Linked DNA regions of Sus scrofa. Each later gene encodes a partner of the first gene's protein in a complex. Links are inferred from orthologs where the notes say so. Each region holds a gene or a part of one and is shown on either strand. Other genes may lie near its edges.

The links. The genes of interacting proteins can lie anywhere in the genome.
Region 2: the proteins of ACVR2B (region 1) and GDF2 are in contact, whole or in part, in a crystal structure (PDB 4FAO), measured with the Homo sapiens proteins. The link is inferred for Sus scrofa from reciprocal best matches to the Homo sapiens genes ACVR2B and GDF2. Residues at the interface, in NP_001097.2 of Homo sapiens: Asn35, Glu39, Cys49, Glu50, Glu52, Lys55, Leu57, Tyr60, Ser62, Arg64, Val73, Lys74, Cys77, Trp78, Leu79, Asp81, Phe82, Asn83, Glu94, Gln98, Val99, Phe101; in NP_057288.1 of Homo sapiens: Arg333, Ile346, Ala347, Pro348, Lys349, Glu350, Tyr351, Glu352, Lys397, Ser399, Pro400, Ile401, Ser402, Val403, Leu404, Lys406, Gly410, Val411, Pro412, Thr413, Leu414, Tyr416, His417.

Annotation. Positions count from the first base shown.
Region 1 is NC_010455.5:23,241,558-23,245,832, reverse strand, and holds the start of ACVR2B (activin receptor type-2B), read right to left. Parts: upstream 2,849-4,275; 5' UTR 2,704-2,848; coding exon 2,616-2,703; intron 1-2,615. UniProt on the Homo sapiens protein: Transmembrane serine/threonine kinase activin type-2 receptor forming an activin receptor complex with activin type-1 serine/threonine kinase receptors (ACVR1, ACVR1B or ACVR1c).
Region 2 is NC_010456.5:88,510,574-88,514,870, forward strand, and holds the start of GDF2 (growth/differentiation factor 2), read right to left. Parts: upstream 2,844-4,297; 5' UTR 2,663-2,843; coding exon 2,314-2,662; intron 82-2,313; exon of another isoform or gene 1-81. UniProt on the Homo sapiens protein: Potent circulating inhibitor of angiogenesis. Signals through the type I activin receptor ACVRL1 but not other Alks. Signaling through SMAD1 in endothelial cells requires TGF-beta coreceptor endoglin/ENG.

The DNA of each region.
Region 1 (4,275 bases):
TTGCTGTGAGCTGTGGTGTAGGCCTCAGACGAGGCTTGGATCTGGCATTGCTGTGGCTGTGGCGTAGGCTAGTAGCTACAGCTCCGATTCGACCCTTAACCTGGGAACTTCCATATGCCGCAGGTGCGGCCCAAAAAAGACCAAAAAGAAACCAACCAACCAAAAAAACCCTATTTCTCTAAGTACTTCTATAGATACACTGGTCAAATGTCTAGCAGGATATCCACCAACCTGAGAAGGCTGACTTCTGGAGGACTCAGACGGCAGACAGGTCTGGTAAAAGAGACCCTGGTTTTATCTGTAACATCTAAATTTCTGCAACTAAATCTAGGTATGTTATTTATAAAACTAAAAATGAACAAAATCTTAAATGGGAAAAGTTATGGCCAAAGTGCCTACTACTACCTCACCTATAGCCAGGTATACCAGGGTATAACTAGGAGATCCCTGGATAAGGGAAGGTCTGGGAGGGGGTTTTCAGGGAAGGAGAGACAGGTCTCCCCAGAAGAGCCCTACAGGACCCACCCTCAGGTGGGGCGTTCACAGGAGGGGCCAGCCTGGTAGGAAACAAAACCAGAATTCGCCTCTAACTTTTTGCCCCTGTTTTCCAAGCCCCAGAGCCTGATCTCCTCTGCCACCAGGACACAAACCTCTACTTACGAGGCTAGGGTCACACAGCTCAACTCTAACACCCACTCAAGTCAACAGTTCCCAGGGAGACCCTGGTCTGCCTGGCTTGTGAGCATCTGAAGGGACTGCCAAAACTCAGGTATGAAAGATGAAGTTCCCGTCATGGCTCAGCAGAAACCAATGTGACTAGCAGCCACGAGACCAAAGGTTTGATCCCTGCCCTTGCTCAGCGGGTTAAGGATCCGGCGTTTCCGTGAGCTGTGGTGCAGGTCGCAGACGTGGCTCAGATCTGGGGTTGCTGTGGCTGTGGTGTAGGCCAGCGGCTACAGCTCCAGTTAGACCCCTAGCCTGGGAACCTCCACATGCTGAGGGTGCGGCCCTAAAAAGACAAATAAATAAATAAACAAACTCGGGTAAAAAAAAATTCCCAAACAGTACCTAAAGTAAGGGTTTCTTAACCCATGGCTGCCAGTCCAGAGATCTGAGATCTCATGCATCCTTTCTGAATCAGTGAGGAGAAAGGGGAACAGAGGGTTGTCAATGACACAGCGCATTAAAAGCATTGTCCTCATACCTGAAAACACCGTGCACCACTACACAAGCCAGAAGGAAAAAACATCCTGGCATCAACACTCAAGAGCAGCAGCTTCCAAATCAGCCTTCTGTTTTGATTGGTTCGGGTCTAGGAGGCAAGCAGGGGCACCTCCCTCTCTCCTCAGATGGACAGACAACAGCTGGTCTGGTCACATCTTCTGAAATGTCTGGCCACAAGCCCCAGGAAACAGCCTCTTCCATCCTCCAGCCAAGGGCTTGGGTTTCCAAGCAGTCTTCTTTTCCTTCCCCAGAACTAATTTTAGCCTCCTTGGTTGTCAGAGTAGAACTGAAATAGTCGGCAGAGGAACATTTGCAAACAAGAACATGCGCTCACCTCACAAAACACCTTAGCGCCAGCCCAGAAACCAGTCAGAGAGGAGTAGCAGACCAGGCTTCTAGTGAAGGGTCCCCTGGGAGGGGTCACATCTGCCCAGTGGGGCAAGCTTCCTTTCCAACACCTGCTTCCAGCAATCACATGGCCATAAATGAAAACACCTAGCTAGGGCTGCCAGTCCCTGAGTCTGAAAAACGCACATGTATGGGTACGGTAAGACTGAATAGCCAAGGCAAAGCGTGGGGCTATCCAAAGCAGGAAGCCAGGACTGGTCCTGGGCCAGAAGAGGCACTGGTGACCACCAAACAATCTCAGCCTGCCTTATCAGTCTGTTTCCAGTACCTACCATTGTCGCAGACAGAAACACTACTGAGAACTTAAAAAACAGACTCAGAAGAGAGCAGCAGCGTCTTCCCTCCCCCATCCCTATCCCCACCACCACCACCGCCCAACACCCTAGGCATCCAGGAGCAGCACCCCAGGACCTCAAGGGCCAGGCACCTCTTGGGCTAGGATAGCAGGCCTGTGAGTCTGATGGAGAAAAACAAAAAAGGAAGCCCCAATAAGGGGGTGGGTGTCCATTCTGGAACAAAGAACAGGAGATAAAGTAGGAAGGAAGAGAAAAAAAGAATTCTGAGATTCTTTTGTTGCTACAGGTGGCAACAGAGCCACCTGTGGAAAGACCCCAAAAGAGATGAGAAGCAGAAAGTCTCAACCCTAGCAAAAAACAAAAACAAAGACAAAAACAAACAAACAAACAAAAAACCTTTTAAACAAGCACTCCACACCCCAACGACAAGGAGAACTTGGAAACTGAAGAGTGCTTCCTCCCACCCTAAGAAGCGTCTGTAATCCATTGCAAGTGTAGCAAGCTATGTCTTGTTGAGTTCAGATCAGACAGGAGACCCCAGAAAGCTCCCCAGCGAACCGCGAGTATATCAGGGGAAGAGTGGAGAAGGATCACCAGGTTGCCAGCCTGCCAAGCCCCACCAGCAGGCGCCGGTAAAGACCACCCTCCAGTCGGGGCGCCATCCGGGTCGCAACCACGCGCCCCTACCTTTGGGGAGAGGCGGCGCCCCCGGCCCGACGTCCGCGGGCTCGGAGTTCCAGGCCCAGGGCGGCGGCGGCTCCCCAGGGGAAGGCATGCCTGGCGCTCTGCTAGGCCCGCAGCCGGCGTCAGCTCCTGTGGCTGCCAGGTGCGCACACAGGGGCGCCGGGCGGCGCTGAGGCCCAGGCCTCGGCTCTTCTTGACATTCTGCGCGGCGGGCCAGCGAGGAACGATGTGAACCTGGGCGCCTTGGCCGCGGCTACGGCGGTGGGCGGGGGCGGCAGGCAGGCTGCCCGGCCACCCATAACCGCCGCCTCCCTGAAACCCGAACCACTTCTGGGAAAACTCAAGGACGCCAGGTTTCTCCTCGGTGGCCGGCAAGGCTCTCGAGCCACGATTTCGAATCAAACGGACGCTGGGCAGCTTTAAGAGAAGCAAGAACTCTCCTAGGCTTCGGAGAGAATCCATCCTCCCACCCTGATTTCCATGAGGGGAAGAGGACAGGCATTAGCCACTAACCTCACCTCCCATAACTGTGTTTCCCTTTAAAAACATGAGAACATTCTACATCAGAGATTCTCAACCTCAGGTGATTTGCAGAACCCCCCCCCGCTTCTCCCAGGGAATTTGTGGTTGTCCTGATCTGAAGTACTACTAGTGGAGTTCCCCTCATGGCTCAGCCATTAACTAATCCATGAGGACACAGGCTCAATCCCTGGCCTTGCTCAGTGGATCCAGTGTTGCTGTGAGTTGTGTGGCTGTGGCCAGCAGCTACAGCTCTGATTTGACCCCTAGCCTGGGAACCTCCACGTGCCAAGGGTGCAGCCCTAAAAAGCAAAAAAAAAAAAAAAAAAAAAAAAAAGTGGTACTAACATTGTGCGGGTAGAGGTGAATTATGCTGCTAAACACCTTACAGTACCCAGGGCAGCCCCCTCTCCCACCCCCTCCCGGCGACAATCATTGGAGCCAAACTGTCAAGTGTCAAGGTTGAGAAACCCCGTTGCAGAATGAGGTCTACCCAGCCAGGACCCTACCTGAGGGCTGTCTCAGTGTCCTTCTCAAAAGTATTACCCAGATTAGCCCCTTCCTCCCCTAGGCCCCAGATCTCAGTCCCTGGTAACAGGCCAGTGTCTGCCAATGGATCTAAGCTCTGGTCTGTTGTCCCTTGGTTCTCACCTGCACTACTCTGAGCTCCCAGGTAGGGTGCTGAATACACAGGCCCCGGCGGGGTGAGGTGGGGGGGCTTCCTGGTTGGGGGTCAGGGGAAGGCCAGGGCTGGCATGTGAACACTGGGGGCAGGGTCACATAGGGCAAAAGTAAAGAAGCCATACTCAGTGGCTAGAAAGGTAGGGGGAGACAGCAGTATGGAAACTACCCTAGTGTACCCTGTAAGGACAGCAAGTTGCCCCTCAGGACTGATACAGAGGGAATGTGCAGGGCAGCCAGGACTTCACGGAGTCCAATCCAGGGAGCCATAATTTCTAGGTATCAGTACAAACAGCAAGTGTGCATGTGCAATGCATCTGAGTACTCTCACATTTTCCAGGGGAAGGGTCCACAGCTTTCACCAAATTCTCAGAAGGGCTGGGAGCTCTTCACTGGGCTCCCTGCAAAGGAAGTTCCTTAGGTGAAGTGCCAGGGGAAATGCAGGTGCTATCTGGAGAATCAT
Region 2 (4,297 bases), on another chromosome or scaffold:
CAGCCTAAGATGATGTTAAAACTCTCAGCATCTAAGTGGTATAAAAATCACCCAGAATTGTAACTTCTGAGCAAAATGAAGGTAGGTGATTATTTATTTATTTATTTATTTTTGTCTTTTTAAGGCTGCACCTGTGGCATATGGAGGTTCGCAGGCTAGGGGTCAAATCAGAGCTACAGCTGCCCTCCTACGCCACAGCCACAGCAAAGCTGGATTCAAGCCGCATCTTTGACCTACAGCAAAGCTCATGGTAACGCTGGATCCTTAACGCACCGAGCAAGGCCAGGGATCGAACCTCATGGATCCTAGTCAGGTTTGTTACCCCTGAGCCATGACGGTAACGCCGATTTTTTTTTAATGTTTGAGGTAAAAAAAATATTAACCTCAATGGCTTAGTCACATTTGGCTCAAAGAGGGCTTGCCTTTTAGCTACACAACTGTCTCACTTTCCCACTCCCCAGGCTGCTGCATGGCCACCAGCACATTTATTATACCATGGTTCGGTCACAAAGAGAGAAGTGTTGTGTTTTTTGAGCTCCTACTATGTGCCAACGTGAAGGAAGACTGGGTGCTGTTGTGAACCTGGCCATGCCTGACAGACTGAGTGCCAATCTTGACTCTCCCGAGTTCCTCTGGGCCTGTTTCCTCATCTGGAAAATGGGGCTCATCTGTCCAGCCTCCCAGGGTCGGTGTGAGGCTTTGACAAGAAGGTACATGGGACTTGCCCTACGCTGTCTCTGGCTCACAGCAGATACTCAATATTTCTGTGTCCTTCTTGCCTATGTATGCACCCTAGCACATGCCTTTCATATATCTCTGTGTCCCCTGACCCAGAGTGGACATGCCATCCTAGTTCCTGTGGTGGGTGGCGAGGCACTATAGCATATGTGAGTAGTGAGTGCAGTCTATGAGCAGTGTTTCAAGGACCCACTATGAACATGGCCATGGGAGCGCATCAGACATCTAGAAAACAAGGGCCTCCCTGCCTGAACTGCACTCAGGCTGTGTGAAGGGAAGCATAACTGGCCTCCATAGGAGTGCTGGCCACAGGCAGAGCTGGGATCAGATCACTTGTTTCTGGGACAATGACAATGCTGGGGGCGGGGTGTGGGTGGGAAGTCACTGATATAGCTCCAACACTGCACTCCTAGACTATGGGATTTGGTGATTTGGTGATTTGGTCCAGCCAAGAGAGCCCAGCCTTCCCCTAAAGCAGAGGTTACAGACATGCACCAGTGAGACATTAGCAGCATCTGGATGACCTGAGACCGCATTAAAAAAATATTAAGCCAGCGTTTAAAAATCAAGCAAGTTCATATAAACTCCAGGGACATCAGAAAATATAGCAGAAATTGGCACAATATTATAAATCAACTACACTTTAATTTTAAAAAAAAAGGAAATTAAAAAAAGAAAATACAGTCTTGCTGGGCACGTGGCATGACCACAGCATCCTTTAAATAAGGCATACATCTGTTAGGAGTCTGCAGGTCCCAAGCCCAGGAGAGAAGAGGCCCCGAGTGCTTGGCTGGTTAGAGAGAGGCTGCAGCTGCAGAAAAAGGCTGAGCTGGGCAGCCTTAACTAATGTTAGTTAAGCGGTCAGCTGCTTAACTAACATGTGAACTGGGCAAGTTCCCTCAGGGTCTGCAAGCCTTGACTCCCCTGCTCACAAGATCTTGTCACCTACGTTGTGCAAATAAATTAGTAGACTTAAGTCCTAAGTTGACATTTATTATCTTCTAGTCTGCCTAAGTCAGGATAATTATTTAATGTTTGGAAAATAAGTTGTCCTCCAATGTTTCTCTCTTGAAGGAATTAATCTGAATTTTAAACACCTTTTGATGAGAGAGAAGCAGACATTCTTTCGGTGTTCAAAAATATACCAGTTGGTTGGATGGTAAATAAGCTGTCTAAGCAGGAAGGGGACAGTATGGCAAAGAGGAGGTAGGAGAAAGGATGGAAGAAAGGGAGCTGACATTTCCTCAGCACCTCTGGTGTTAAATGTGGCTTTGGGCCCAGGGAGGGAGAATCTTCTAGAGCAGAGCTGTCCAATAGAAATGTCTGCAGTAAGGGAACTGTTCTATAATCGCCACTGTCCTATAGGGCAGCAATTAGCCATGCATGGTTGCTGGGCACTTGCATTCAAGCTAGTGAAACCAAAGAACTAAATTATTAATTTTATTTCCTTTAAATTAACATAAATGGAAACATCAAGAGTCCCATGTTTCCACTGGCCGCCATATTGGGCAGCAGCATCCATGGACCACTGAGCCCCCCGCCCCCACACCAGGCGCCCGGATGGGCTGACTCTACCTTCTACGCTGAAGCTGCGCACGATGTTGGACGCGGGGGTGGACGTCTTGTCAGTGGTGTATCTGTTGTACAGGTCAATCATGTACTGCGGTGGCTCAGCTCGGGTTTTGTCCTGGGAGGGGACCCCGCTCAGGTTGAGACTGCGCAAGAAATCCACCTTCATGTTTTCCAGGAACATCCTCAGGTCGAAGGTGCCCCGTTCCTGCTCACCTCCGGCCCCTCCTAGCAGGCGGTGGGCATCTCCCCCAGCCGAGGCCCTCACCCGGCTGTCCAGTGGCTTCCCCTGCGTGGAGCACACCAGCAGGGAGAGCGCCACAGGCAGGGCCACCCAGAGCACCCCGCGACACATCTTGGGGTGCTCTCTCCCTGCTTCAGAGACTGCGGCAGCTGCAGTGTGTTAGCGGGTGCGGGGAGGAGCCCGGAAGGAGCCGGCACGCATTGTCCTGCCCACAAGCTCTCCACCGCGCACCCCACGCGCCCAGGCCCGTTCACAGGCTCTCACCCACCCGCCGTCCCCGGAGTGCCCTCCACTTGTTCTTATCTGGCCCTTGATGCTGTGTTCAGGCCTCTTATCTGAGGGAGAGCTGCGTTAATGAAGGCTCTATAAACATCTGACAAACACACAAGACTTGTGGGAAGGACAAGGCCTGCTGCAAAGAGTCTGAATTTCTCTGTGGGGTTATCGCCCCCTAATTAGGATCCTTTCTCATTTCCTTGCCAGCTCTGTTCAGAGGCATCTTGAGACTGGGTGACATATGTTCCATCTCCTGGGCCAGGGGAACAAAGAATCCAGGAAACAAACAAGACCCAAAAGTCCTCCAAATATAGAAAAAACAGCACAAAACTCCCAGAAGACCCCTGCTAACCACTGGGACCTAGTGTGGGCAGTGGGGTGGGAACCTTATGTCAGAGTTAGTAAGAAGCCTACTTCCTGTGCAACTGCAATAAGCACTTGTGGCTCAAGTACCTTGTGTCTCGGTTTCTCGTCTGTCCAGTGAGCTCATGGGTGAATGTGGCACATAGAAGTCAGTGAGGTTATGGAGACTTTGGGTCAGACCAGATTCGGGTTCAAATCCCAGGTCCCTCACTTACTCCCCACAAGTGTGTCCTGGAGCAAGTCATTTCACCTCCCGAGTCTCTGGTTCGGGAGAGAGTTGTAAGATTTAAGGCGATTTGTGCTAAAGGTCGTGGTAGTCACCGTAAGCCCGTCAGTTGGGTGGCTGCATTCTGGCTGCCACTTCTCCACCTTGGGTCTGACTGAGAGAGGAGCTAGGGAGGCAGCCCTGTAGAGATCCTGGCCTGGTCTCTATGAACACCACTTACACGGTGAGACCTGCTGGCCCCGGGATCCCAGAGGAGCTCTGTCACTGGTCTCAGATGGGGCTGATCTTTGCTCATACTCATGTCAGCTGGGCGGCTGCATGAACCACACTTGTCAGTCAGGAGAACCGTGCCGTCTGAGACAAAGGACAGGGAGGGGGGAGCTCTGAGGCCAGGACATGTCCAGGAGACGTCCCCCTGGCCTAAGGAAGCCAACAAGCTGTGGCGCAGTCTGGGCCTGTGAGGTTCCGGGGTCTGCGACATTTTAGAACAGTGTGCCCACATTCAGACTCTGTCCATTTCCATCACTTGCGGCTTGATCACAACAAAGGATGAGCAGAAAAATATTCTGGGGGTCAACTTTGAGGAGTATTTAAAGACAAAGTTTTCCCAAGCTGGTGGGGCTCCTGGGAAGGGGTTACAGTGAGTGGAGGAGGTTCAGGAAGATGAACAAGGGGCCAGCGCAGGCAAGATCAGAGATCCCAGCATGCACCATCCCTACTGGGGGTGGGCTGAATCCAGGAAGGCCCAGTGGCCGGGTCTGGACAGAACTTGCTGTCCCTATCCCCTGGGACACTGCCAAGGAGGCTGGATGGGAAGGGTGCAGCTCCAGAAGTACTGCTTGCCGAGGAGGGCAGGAAGCATGCTAGGCTTTGAGCCAGCT